4 separate regions of the Mus musculus genome follow, and regions 2, 3 and 4 are each reported to be linked to region 1. Evidence: microRNA targets listed by miRTarBase, many of them from high-throughput screens and not tested one by one. Region 1 holds a microRNA gene; each other region holds the end of a gene's coding sequence.

Evidence for each region. Region 1 holds the annotated microRNA mmu-miR-758-3p (UUUGUGACCUGGUCCACUA, at 1,070-1,088, shown strand). A microRNA usually pairs through its seed, bases 2 to 8, with sites in the 3' UTR of a target mRNA and lowers its output. Matches are read on the target gene's strand: a 7mer-m8 pairs with bases 2 to 8, a 7mer-A1 pairs with bases 2 to 7 and ends in A, and an 8mer does both.
Region 2: the mRNA of Rcn2 is a reported target of mmu-miR-758-3p. The part of its 3' UTR that is shown has no 7-base or 8-base seed match.
Region 3: miRTarBase lists Rpap2 as a target of mmu-miR-758-3p. The part of its 3' UTR that is shown has no 7-base or 8-base seed match.
Region 4: miRTarBase lists Entpd7 as a target of mmu-miR-758-3p. Seed matches in the 3' UTR shown: 8mer at 1,225-1,232.

The regions. Positions count from the first base shown.
Region 1 is chr12:109,711,789-109,714,931 of GRCm38, forward strand. Mir758 (microRNA 758) reads left to right here and starts at 1,022; the gene lies at 1,022-1,102. Mir380 (microRNA 380) reads left to right here and starts at 15; the gene lies at 15-75. It overlaps Mir1197 (microRNA 1197), which reads left to right and starts at 529; the gene lies at 529-648. It overlaps Mir323 (microRNA 323), which reads left to right and starts at 720; the gene lies at 720-805. It also overlaps Mir329.
Region 2 is chr9:56,057,638-56,060,780 of GRCm38, reverse strand. It overlaps Rcn2 (reticulocalbin 2), which reads right to left. Exons shown (of 7, transcript NM_011992.2): 7 at 1,698-2,722. The coding sequence ends at 2,570. Among named protein-coding and RNA genes, the nearest start is that of Rcn2, 17 kb to the right of the region's middle.
Region 3 is chr5:107,654,658-107,657,800 of GRCm38, forward strand. It overlaps Rpap2 (RNA polymerase II associated protein 2), which reads left to right. Exons shown (of 13, transcript NM_144911.3): 12 at 500-653. The coding sequence ends at 641. Among named protein-coding and RNA genes, the nearest start is that of A930041C12Rik, 22 kb to the left of the region's middle.
Region 4 is chr19:43,729,348-43,732,490 of GRCm38, reverse strand. It overlaps Entpd7 (ectonucleoside triphosphate diphosphohydrolase 7), which reads right to left. Exons shown (of 13, transcript NM_053103.5): 13 at 1-2,793. The coding sequence ends at 2,556. Among named protein-coding and RNA genes, the nearest start is that of Cox15, 22 kb to the left of the region's middle.

The DNA of each region.
Region 1 (3,143 bases):
CCATGGTACCTGAAAAGATGGTTGACCATAGAACATGCGCTACTTCTGTGTCGTATGTAGTATGGTCCACATCTTCTCGTTATCAAAGTCATTCGTGAGGGTTTTCCAGAGACCGAGCCAACTTCATGGGAGATATCCTGTCCTGGCTTCAGCACAGTACTTGGGGAGATGGTAGACTGTCGAGTGTGTGCGTTAATTCCAGCATGTACAGCATGGTCCACCACATCTCTGCATCAGCCGGTCACCAGGGGCTTTCTGAAAGCCATACCAATTGAGAGTAGGGCTCAGGCGGCAGACCCTATCCAACACAGATTACCCAGTGCTTGGCTACAGGCCATGTTCATTACCTACGACTCTGGCCATTTGATCCAAAGCCAATATTTGGCACCCAGCCCAGCCTTACAGGGCATCCTGGAAGTCATAGTGGCATTAAACATGAGTTTGTGGCCATTGCCACACATGCCGATTGCTGGTAGTTTGTGACACTCATTGAGAAGGCATTTTGGAGGTAACACCAAATTAAGTAAAGTGAGCTGGAATCAGCCAGCGTTACCTCAAGGTATTTGAAGATGCGGTTGACCATGGTGTGTACGCTTTATTTATGACGTAGGACACATGGTCTACTTCTTCTCAATATCACATCTCGCCTTGGAAGACTTCCAGGAGGTGACATCTGCTTTGAGGAAGAGCCAGTGTCCCGGTCTTCCTACTGCTGCTGCTTGGTACTTGGAGAGAGGTGGTCCGTGGCGCGTTCGCTTCATTTATGGCGCACATTACACGGTCGACCTCTTTGCGGTATCTAATCCCGCCTTGCGAGCTTTCCTGGAGCTAACACCAGCTGTGGGGTGGGGACACTAAATGTGTGTGCTAGCGCAACCCAGCCAGCGGGTTTGTCTTTTCTTGTGTCTGACAATAACTCTTGTGTGGCAGCCTTCTTCTCAGCAAATTTCTCTGGCTTGGCAGCTTCGTGGGCAGGGTGACTTGCAGACCAGGAAAGTGGCATCGACATGTGATACACGTGTGGGTGCGTGAGGTGGTTGACCAGAGAGCACACGCTATATTTGTGCCGTTTGTGACCTGGTCCACTAACCCTCAGTATCTAACCTTCCCTTGGAGAACTTCCTGGAAGAGATCTCAACTTTTGGGGACAGAGGCAATAAGCCAGCTGTACGCTGTTAGACTTGGAGACAGCATCCTCAGTACTTGCAACATATGTGCCTGTTATGGTAGTATTGGATGGGCTTCCAATGCTGTCCTATACTTGGATCCCTTCCTTGATATGGGGCCATCCAAGTTCAAGAAACGTACCATGTTGTCAGACATGACCAGGGTGTGTGTATGCCATTTATATATGGCACAGGTCGCAGGTCACCTTAGCACACTTGCATGCTAAATCTGTGGGAGGAATCATCTTTGGTTTGGGGGCATCTGTGCCTTTCTGTGGTTACCCAAAATGGTGGTAAGTCCTATAGCCAGTCTCTACTGCGCCACTGCTCTCTGGTTGTGACATAACTTCAGGATCATGCCATGGAGGTCTGCTGTACTGGGGCATGTGATGGGATGGCTGTCAGATATATATCAACTAATGGCTTGCTTGAGCACTTTGACTAACATCCAGTGTGCAACCCTGCATTCAACAGGCCTGCCAGGTCTGAAGGTCACGTTGGGGAATTACCGAGGTAGTCTTGTCAGTGTTCGCTTCTGGTACCGGAAGAGAGGTTTTCTGGGTCTCTGTTTCTTTGATGAGAATGAAACACACCCAGCTAACCTTTTTTTCAGTATCAAATCCCATCTTGGAGGCTTCGTGGTCCAGATCCCAGTCTCAGGGAAGGATGGTCCTGTCAGCATCCAGCCAGGGGACAGGAATAACTGGTTCTCCACAAAGCCAGCGAGTGGATTATCGTTCTGAATGGTGTCCTTTGTCCTCTAAACCCTCCCAGGCCTGCCAGGTCTGAAGGTCCAGTTTGGGAAGGTGTCATTGTTATTGTTAACTGAGGATGTGGAAGAGGGGTTTCTGTGTTTGAAACACATTTGGTCAACCTCTCTTCCCATCAGAACAAACTATGGAGGCCTTCTGGTCCATACCTCAGCCTCAGCTGAGGACACACTAATAGTTATGAACAAGTGAGTGACGGACAAAACCCATCCCATACATCAGATTTCTGTTGCCTGTGCTTCTAACCTTCAGTATCTTGTCCATTCTCAGGAGGACTTCTCAACCAATATGGTGTTCCAAAGTTGGGGAAGATGGCAGCCACCGAGGCAACTCTACCCCAGGTCATCACAGGTAGGTTGCACCCACTTTGCTTCTAACAGGTTAGACACAGCCACCCCCACACATGTCCAGCATGCTTTGGAGGCACGGTGATGGGCTTTTAATCAGCCAACCCCTGCTATAGGACTGTCTATTGTAGAGAACACCCACTGTGTCAGATGGTACCTAGATCCATGCTATTCACACACACCCACATCCTTGTAATAAGAGACTTGGAATCAGCAGTGTTCTAGCAGTAGGAAAGCAAACCTGAAATTGGCACACACATTTGCCCAGTGAGCTTTAAGATATGAAATCTGGAGCGGGGCAGTGGTGGCGCACGCCTTTAATCCCAGCACTTGGGAGGCAGAGGCAGGTGGATTTCTGAGTTCGAGGCCAGCTTGGTCTACAGAATGAGTTCCAGGACAGCCAGGGCTATACAGAGAAACCCTGTCTCGAAAAAAACCAAACCAACCAACCAACCAAACAAACAAACAAATAAACAAAAGATGTGAAATCTGTTCTTAGTCCTTAACTCCACCCAGGGTTGTGGTCAGCAGTAGAGCTTTCTGTGGGGTTCCAGGTAGAACACAATTCTCATCTGCAAATCATGAGCCCTTTTCATAGGCATTTCATATCAGATATCTACATTATGATTTATAACAGTAGCAAAATCACAGTTATGAAGTAACATTGAAAATAATTTTACAGTTGGGGATTACCCAACATGAGGAAGTATATTAAAGGGTCACAGCACTAGGAAGGTTGAGAACCACTCGACCAGGGGGTGGAACTGCCTGCCCCTGCCTGCTGCTTCTTTATACTACCACATGTGCTGGCACACATTTACCTTCCTACTAACTTTATAATGTGTCTGCTTTTAGAATCT
Region 2 (3,143 bases), not on the chromosome of region 1:
ACTGTCTATGTAGTGAGTATAAAAACTGAATCCCTGATCCTCTGGCCTCTACCTCCCCAATCTTATGTAGTGCTAGTGATCAAACCCAATGTTTTGTGTATGCTCGGCAAGCACTCCACCAACCAGTGCAGGGTTACAGGCCTGTGCTGCTATACCCCACTGCAGCACCATCTTGAAGGCCAATGAAAACTATTTCTGTAATACATACTACATAGAAGACCAAGAACGAATCTTACTGTACAACAGGGGATTTGGATGACAGTAAGTGTGGATTGTCATGACTACTCTACTGCATGGACAGCAAGAACTATGCAACTGTATCGAGAAGCAAGAGGACAAGTTCAAGGCCCACCTGGGAGTACTCTCTCAAAAAATAAAAACAAACAAAAGTTCTATTCTGTTTTAATAGATCCTTTTTGCTTAAGTGCCTATAGAAGTTACTTCTTCAATGCTAATCTTCACTTAGGATGGGCTGAGTCCTGCTGTGGTTCAAAAACAGCAAAAATTCCTCTATCTCTAGGCTGGTATCATTAAAACTATGTAAATAAAAAGCTTATTTCCACCGTGGGTCCATTTGTTCTCCATGTGGCCACTAAGCAATCATGGACATTCAACTCTGTGGCTCTAGTGTTTCCACTGAACCTCCTCCACAGTGCTACGTAGAAGAAAGGGGCTGCCTCTGACTAGTCATGGAGTGACAATGACTACTATACTCAGCTGGTTGGAGCCAGTCACTGCCTACCTTAAGAGGGCTACAAACCAGTTTCCTTTATGCTAAGGAAAACAGTACAGATATTGGTAAACCCTAACAATCACCAAGTTTTGTATCTGTATATTCATGCTGAATGGACAATGTTAACTTCTTAACTAAGTGAAAGGATTTCTGCTAAGGACTAAAGTTAAATCTGTATGATAGGCTAACATCTGTGACGTGGGCTTTAGAGAATCTACTAACAAAATCAGTTAACATCCTGATAACCACAGTAGCTACCTTAAACAATCTCAGTGAGGCCGAGCAGTGACAGATGAGTGATGACAGTAATTCAATTCTTACACTGCTAGAGCCTCGTGATGCTGTGGGTTAGAGTGAAAACCTTAGCTACTAGGGTAAGACAGCTATAGTTAATGCTGACTTCACAGTTTGCATCTACAGCTTAACATCAGCAAAGGCAGGGCAGGAGCTGGTAGTCAACTCTGTCAGAAAAGAGCCAGGGGTGGGGTGGGGGGTGGAGGCGGTTCACAAACACTCACAAGGGCCTGGTGAGCTACACTATGTGTGCCACCTGATTGGTAACCTGAAAAAAACCCAACAAATTCTCAGCTGACTTTTCGCCTATAAATAAAAGGAATGCAAGGCAAAGAAAAAAAAAGAACTATCTCTAAGTCACAAGCCCAGAAAGTTAATTTCTCACCTACTTTCCTCCACTCTAACAAAGGCATGCTGATACTTGAATATGACGAAATCCAATTGTCTGGGTGTGGATAAGCGCTCAGTGAGGTGGCTCTCAGCTTCCACAAGGCTTAAGGTTATCTCTGGGGCTAAAGGGTTTGCAATTCAGTAGCAGAACACTTCTCTAGAATGCCAGAGAAAGGTCCCGGGGATGATTCCTAGCATCTCAAACAAAACAAAAACATTATGTTAGCACCAAAGTGCAAAATCACACTCAGCATAAAAGCAATTGAAAATGTCTCAGGTGCACGTTCAATTATAACATAATTCTTTTAATTTTTTTAAAAAAAGGTAAATAAGACTATGTACCAAGAATAATTAACAATCTTGAGAACATTCACTATCTAATAAAGGAATGAATAATGTTTAATATAACAAAACCCATGCTGAATTTAAGATTTATCTGGAAAAATAAAACAAAAAAAACAAAAACCCAAACATATAAAAAGATAGGACAGTTTATTTTTAATCAATCAAAAGTGAAGAGTTCTGGACAATGTCAATTTCCACACACCATAATGCTATAGTTATACATTAAATATAATTACTATCTATACATATGCAAAAATATAAAGTTCTATTTCATACGACAAAACCCTTTTTAGAAACCATTTTAAAATTAAGTAGAACTTCTCAACATCTATGTGAGGTTTAAGTCCTTGTGAAGGTTCCTTTAAAGGCTTTAAGATAAAACACTAAATCTAAACACTGTCCTTTGTCAGTTTCAAAAGTAAGTCTACTAGTACAAGAACGAAAACTGACAGCTTCATCACGTGCTACTTAAATACTATTGTTTAGACATGTCTAAATCCTCCATGTCTTCAAGTATGGCAACAGAGCTCAACATTCCACAACACAGCACTACATAGATGGAGTACTTAGGAAAGACTGTGTGGTCATATGGCACAACATTAATAGTTTACTCCTTCAATATGTCTTGAAATAAATGACAAGTTCTTGTTTTGTTTTCTTTGAAAAGGCCAAAAGTTATAATCTACATTTAGATCATCTGAAGTGGTAAGACTTAAGAGTGTAAAGGACAACATCTATATCTCATCATAAAAGTCAAGCTGGTAGCAAACTACAGAAGGCCGCATCCTGCTGGGGCGCACTCGGGGGTTAAAGCTCGTCATGATAGAAGTAGTCGTCATGGAGCTGTCGGCCATAATCCGTGGCTTCGCTGGTAAGGAACAAGTCTTGGTTTTCCAGAATCTCTTCTTCAGAGAGCTTTTTGTCACTATTCAAATCCATCTCATCAATCAGATGAAGAGCCTTTAAAAGAAAATAAACCATAAAGTGTCCAGAATCAGTCTTTGTAAGGAAAATGCTCAGGTTAGTGTGATTTGCCAAAACCACATAGGTATACCAGGAGCTCAGTAAATTCCACGTTTTAAAACGATTACACATGCATTGTGTCTGTCTGTCTACTGCTTCTCTCATTATTCTCTTAATTAATCTATTCTGAGTTCTGCATCTCTACACACAGTTAAAAAAGGGTTAGCACAGTGTACAATCCACTTGCGCCTCCAAAGGTAGGACACAGCTGTCATCCTATGGATTGTGTCCTAAGATTAGTACATGACACACTTTTAACTTTCTTGTTTCCTGGGGGGGGGGTTAATATGAGAGAGTTTTATCATTTAATTCAAAACAAAATAGTGTACCCATCTTAAATAATTCCATTTCTTTTTTC
Region 3 (3,143 bases), not on the chromosome of region 1:
TTCTAATACAATAAGAATCTTACTTACTGATTACATTTCGATGAGAATTAAATTTTCCATTACATTTAGTCAGTCTTTAGAGAAATGTATCAGAAGTGTTTTGAGGAAAACATGCAATTGGTGTTAAATACTTTATGATATATGATTTATTTAAATTTAAAATTAAAAAGTTACATCCCAAATGGTAAACTTGCTTTTTGTCTTTTCCCCCCTCGGGTGGTATAATCCAAACATTCTATATAGATGTAAAAAAAAAAAAAAAGACCACACACACACTTGCATTTACTTTTCTCCTAAGAGTTTTTGCTGGCATAACAAGTATGTTACTAGGCACAGATGTGTAGACGTTTTTTTCTCAGTGACAGTGTTTGTTGGTCCCTCAGGCTGAGACTTCTGTCTTAGTAAAGCCTTTCTCTATAGGAATGTTATCTGCAAGGTGAAGATGAGTGTCCTGCGGTCCATCTTATTTCTTCATACACATTACTATTATTGGTTTCAGATTGACACCGATTCTTGGCATTCAGAAGCATTCTCCGAAAAATGTGGTTTTTACACAGTTTATAGCCACCCTGCTGACAGAATTGCATTTAAAATTCGAAGATCTTGAAAAATTAACCATGATATTTAGAACCAGCTGCTAGCTAACAAGAATGGTAAGTTGCATTGTATCTCTGTTTGGTTACCTGTGAGAGCTTCTGATTCATGCTCAAGTGTTCTCCCCCTGAACTGTGTCCAGCCATAAGTTTAAAATTTCAAAAGCCAAGTGCAAACCTCAAGTTAACTTGCTCTGCAGCTCTGACTCTGGTTCTTGCATTCTGGGACATCCCCCTTGTCCCACCTGGGAAGTGTTTCTCCAGGAAATAGCAGCTCACTGCAATAGACAGCATTGCATGCACCTCTTCCTAGCAGCGTCCCTGTTAGCTCAGTACAGGCAAGTGGCAAATCTGCATAGCTGGCTTTCTTGACTTTTATCACTGCTTCCAGAGACACTCCAGTCTTTTGCCTCTTGCAAGCTGGCCATCAGAATGTCCCTGGACTGTACTTCTTCCTGTTTTTTCATTTCACATGCCCCCTTCTTGTGCTCAGATAAATTCAAAATTAAAAGAATTTATCCTAATTTTTTTAATTAACTCAAAATTTTCTTTATTGTAAAAAAAAAAAAACCAAACAACACAGAAATACACATATGTAATAAGAATAGAAAGTCTTCCTTACCTCTGCTTCCAGTCCCCAAAACATGCTTGTTCTGATCAGTTTTTTTCCCTCATCAATTTTTTTTTCAATTTGCCAAGCTGTGACTGTTTATTAACTAACCAGATTACAGAAGTACCACAGATGAACGAAGGTGTTGCCCATAATTATTTATTCATTTACTTTACATCTCAGTAACTACACCACCTCCCAGTCCCTTGCCTCAAATAGTCCCTCCTCCCTCCTCTTGTCCTCTGAGAGAGTGGAGGAAGCCTTGGGTATCCCTCCATCCTGGCTAGGTGCATCCTCTCCCACTGAGGCCAAACAGGGCAGCTCAATTAGGGGAAGAGGATCCACAGGCAGGCAACTGATTTAGGGACATCTCCTGCTCCAGTGTTAGGGGACCCACATGAAGACCAAGCGATACATTTGCTACATATGTGCCAGGAGGTGTAGGTCCATGCTCTTTGTTTGGTAGTTTAGTCTGTGAGAGTCCCCAAGGGTCCAGGTAAATTAAATTAACTCTTACTGTGGTGTTTATATCATTTTTATATTTGATTATATTACATTACTGTGTGGAGATCAGAGGACACCTTTTTGGAGTAGGTTTTCTCCTCCTACCATGTGATTCCCAGAGATTGAACTCAGGTTGTTCAATCTTAATGGTGATTTGCCTGAGTAGCCATCTCAAAAGCAATTACATGACTTCCTCCTCTCAAATTCATGACCTCTTTTTTTATTGTTGTATAATCACTCACATACATACATACATACAACCTGCTGGATTCATTTAGGGTTGCTTGTATGTATATGCTTTCAGGGCTGACTACTTGATATTGGATAACCAGTTGAGAGGCTCATCCTTGGAGAGGACTAGTTCCTTCGTTCTCTCCCTCCCTCTCTGGGATCCCTCTCAACAGTGTCTTTCCCCTTCTGTGTTAGCATGTCTATTGCTGCTGCCTTTATTCTGGTCTTCTTTAGGCAGCCATATTGTTGAAGAATCATGGTTGAAGCTGCACCGTTATTTCTAGTAGATACAATCCCTCCTGGTCTTCCAGCTTCTATCACCTCCCCATGCCTTCTTCCAAGATGTTCCCTGAGCCTTGCTCAGGAGTTGTATTGGTGGTATATCTGGGCTAGGCACCCCATAGTGCATTGCTTGTTGAACTTTGAGTACTTGGGGTTTTCTTTACTGGTTTCCATCTACTGCAAAGAAAAGTTTCTTTGGTGAGGAATGAGACACTATACTTATGTATGAGTAGAAGTATTTAGGATGTATTTAGGGACCATGTTGGTTTAGTAAAGTAGCAGTAATATGTTCTCCTGTAAGATCATGGCCTCACTAACCCTGGGTAGTTGGCTAGGTTTCAGCTAACAGACACTTAGATTGCTTGAGTTTTGTAGCTATTGTGAATACAGTGACAGTGAGCATGGCTGAACAAGTAAGTATCTGTGGAGCAGGATGTAGAATTCTTTGAGCATATGCAAGGAGTGGTACATTTATTTTTACCTTTTTTCAGAAATCTCCACACTGATTTCTGCTCACTTTGCAATCCCACCAACAGTGAATAAAGGTTCCCCTTTCCCTACATCCCTTCCAGAACTTGTTTTGTTGATCTTTGCAATTCTGACTGGGGTAAGATGAAATCTCAAAGTTGTTTTATTTGCATTTCTGTAATTGCAAAGAAGAGGTTTTTCTTAGCCATTTTTATTTCTTCTGTGAGAAGAACTCTATTCAGATCCATAGCCCATCCTTTGAATGGGCCTTTGTTGTTTGGTGGTGGCGGTGGTTGTGGTTTTAGTCCTTTATACTATCAGATGTGTAGCTGGCATGAATTCTCCCCCATTCTGTGGGATTTCTCTTCACCTATGCCTTCGTTTCCTAGGCAAATAGAATCCTATTGTTTTACTGACATGTATCGAAAGATAGCCCTGTAATTTCTTCTACCAGT
Region 4 (3,143 bases), not on the chromosome of region 1:
AGTAGCATCAGGACAAAGAGGAAGATCAGTAATGAGAGCTTTACAACCAGACCATTACCACCTCCCTCCTCCAGTCTCAATTGGAGCCCATGAACATGGCCACTGTTAACCTGCCCAGGGACTTCTGACTAGATCTCTCAACACACCAAGACAGCTATATAGAAACCAAGATGAAGCTAAATGTTCCCTGAGGAAGCAAATGGCTGGTAAGAGCATTTTATAGCAACATTAAAAAAAAAAAGCAGAGGCTCACTCACAGGACATAAAAATTAGAATGATGGAGAAGGGAGACAACTGAGAAGTCCTAAGATGTCAACCTCACAGCCCTAATGAAAAGTAGATGACATGAAAGAATTCTTTGCTAGGTGTGCACGTATCTAATGTGCACGCATGGTGGCACACATCTGTAATCACAGCACTCAGGAGGCTGTGGCAGGAGGACCACTGAGAACCAGGCCAGCCTGAGTTACTTAGTGACACCCACTCGGCCTCAAAAAAAAAAAAAAGAAAAGAAAAGAAAAGAGGAGGGGGAGGGGAGGGAGAGGGGAGGGAGGGGGAAGAAAAGGAAGAAAAGGAGGAAGGGGGAGGAGGAGGAGGAAGAAGAGGGAAGGGGAGGAAAGGGAAAGGAGAAGGAAGAAGAGAGAGGGGGCGAGGAGAGAGAGGGAGGAGGGGGAGGAAGAGGGAGGAGATGATGGTAATTGCAGCCTTGCCTAACTGCTAAGTCAACACACTCATCCTCACGTTGGCTTCCTCCCTAAGACCATCTTGACTTTTTTCTCTATTTCATAAATCATTTCATTTCCTTCTGTTCCCAGGAGGAATTTATTATCAAAGAAATTCATTTTTATTCCTTTAGACTCTTTTTTTTTTCTTCTGAACTCCAACACTAGAGATAAAAGGCTTTGGCAAAATGAAGAGAAAATGAGCCAGGTTGGTGATGCTCTCCTTGAAGCCAGCGCTACAAAGACACAGAGGCAGGGATATCAGGGCTTCAAGGCTGGCCTTGGCGACCTAGAAAACTGGGCTCAGGAGACCTGCCTTACTCCCCAAAAGAAGAAATCAAACTCCTGCTTCGGCCCTGGGAACAATCCCAGGTGGGGGCAGGGAGGAGCTGACGATGGAGGACTACAGTATGAAAGGCTGGCTGCAGAGAAGGCCGTCTGAGAGGCAGTAGGTGAGAACATCGGGAATATGGCTTTCCTCTCCCCGCTAGTGGGAGAGCTATTTGTGACAGACATCCAGAAAGTGGCCAGGTTGCTCCATGGCAGATTTATCTAGTTATTCCAAAGTTTAGAATTTGCTGTCTTTTGAGCATCTCAAAAAAAAAAAAAAAAAAAAAAAAGTAAGATCTTTGACTTTAAGCCAGGCATGCTGGCTCATGCCTTTAATCCCAGTGATCGGGAGGAAGATGCAGGTCTCTGTGAGTTTGAGTTCAAGGCCAGCCTGGTCTATAGAGCAAATTCCTCCAGGACAGCCAGAGCTACAGAGACCCTGTCTCAAAAAAACTAAACAAAACAAAACAAAAAACAAACAAACAAAAAACAAAAACAAAAATCAAAACCTTGGATTTTATTGCCTTTGCCCACTCTCCTGATGCTATTCTTTCTTAAAACAAAACATAATTTATAAACAAAACAAGTACATTCCTTCCCAATATATATATATAAGATCTTAGGAGTGAAATGAGGGAAGTCACTTTGAATCTTCTACACGCTATATGCCTGTGAGGCCGTAACCAAAACAGGCAAAACTAGGTCCTGTTCCCATCACGGTTTCTCCAATCTATAAGCACACTTAAGGCTCAAAAGGCAATATTAATGCCCAAGCAGCCTTGTGAGGCACATAGACATGAAAATGTTTTCTATACTGGTCAGACCAAGTATCAGATAAAATACTGTCAGATCTTCAATAAGTCATCCATTTCAAAGGCGCTCTAACCTTTCAGATCTATATAACAAAATCAGAAACACTGCGGGGGGGGGGGGGGGGTGAATCTCCGAGCACATCCACAATGGCTTGTCAAGTAAGCAAGGAAGTTGTATCGTTTTGGTTGCCTTGAAATCTGGTCCACTGAACCTCAGAGATCTTAGGTCCCTATTCAAGGCTGTGGATCTTCCACATAAGGATCTCTCTGTTACAGAGAAAACAGGGGCAACTGCACTTGCTGGAATGTCTCTGGCTTTGTAGCAGTCAATCCAAGCTGATTTCAACCACGCCTCCGGTTGCCCAATCAAAAACTTGCTTCAGCAAGGGGCGGGGGGGGGGGGGGGATGCTACATCCCAGAAACAGATCAAATTTCTGAGATAAAGGAGAAGCATGCTTCATTTGGGCTAAGCTTAGCACCAGCCTCTCGACATTTAGTTCCTCGAAGTTAAATTGCGACTTCTGAGAAGAGGTCCCGTCCTGGGCACCAAAAAGAAATCAAAGTGAATAAGTAGAAATTCGCAGGCCAAAGCAGCATCGGAGGCCAGTTCGAGAAAGTGGAGGAATTCAGTCAGCAGCAGCAGCAGCAGCAATCCGAAGGAATGGGAGGTTCTCCACTTCCGCTCCAGCCTCACGGCCCCACCTGGACCCCAATCATCGGCACCACTTGCTCGATCCACAGCAGGTCCAGAGGAGCCGAGGCTCGGGTTTGTCTGCGGTGAATTCTGTGGATGCGCAGAAGGTACAGGACGATGGCCAGAAGCACCACCAGGGTACAAGCAAAGAAGAGATAGTGGTTGTAGACAAAGGAAAGGCGGAGCCAGCTGCCGTGGGCTGGCCGGACTCCTCCCTGTCCCTGCCGAAGGTCCCTAGGGCGAGTGGAGAGAGAACTGTTAGTTTCAAAGTGGACTGGGGCTGTCGGCTGAAGTCTCCATCCCACTTTATCCCTCTTATCTCTCCACTCAGACATTCTAAGAAACCAGCTGTGGCCAGCAAATGAAGCTTAAGGACACCCAGGGCCAAGGGCTGACCGACTTCCAGCACCTTCCCTTCCTTGGTCTACAGGAGGCGAAGCCACGTGGGCGGTTGAATGTGGGTACAAGAGCAAAAGGCCTTTGAAACTAAAGTTAAAAAAAAAAAAAGTGAGCAGGAAGACAAAATAGGTCACCTGCAATGTAAATCTTTTGTTGTTTGGGGTTTGTTTGGTTTGGTTTGGTTT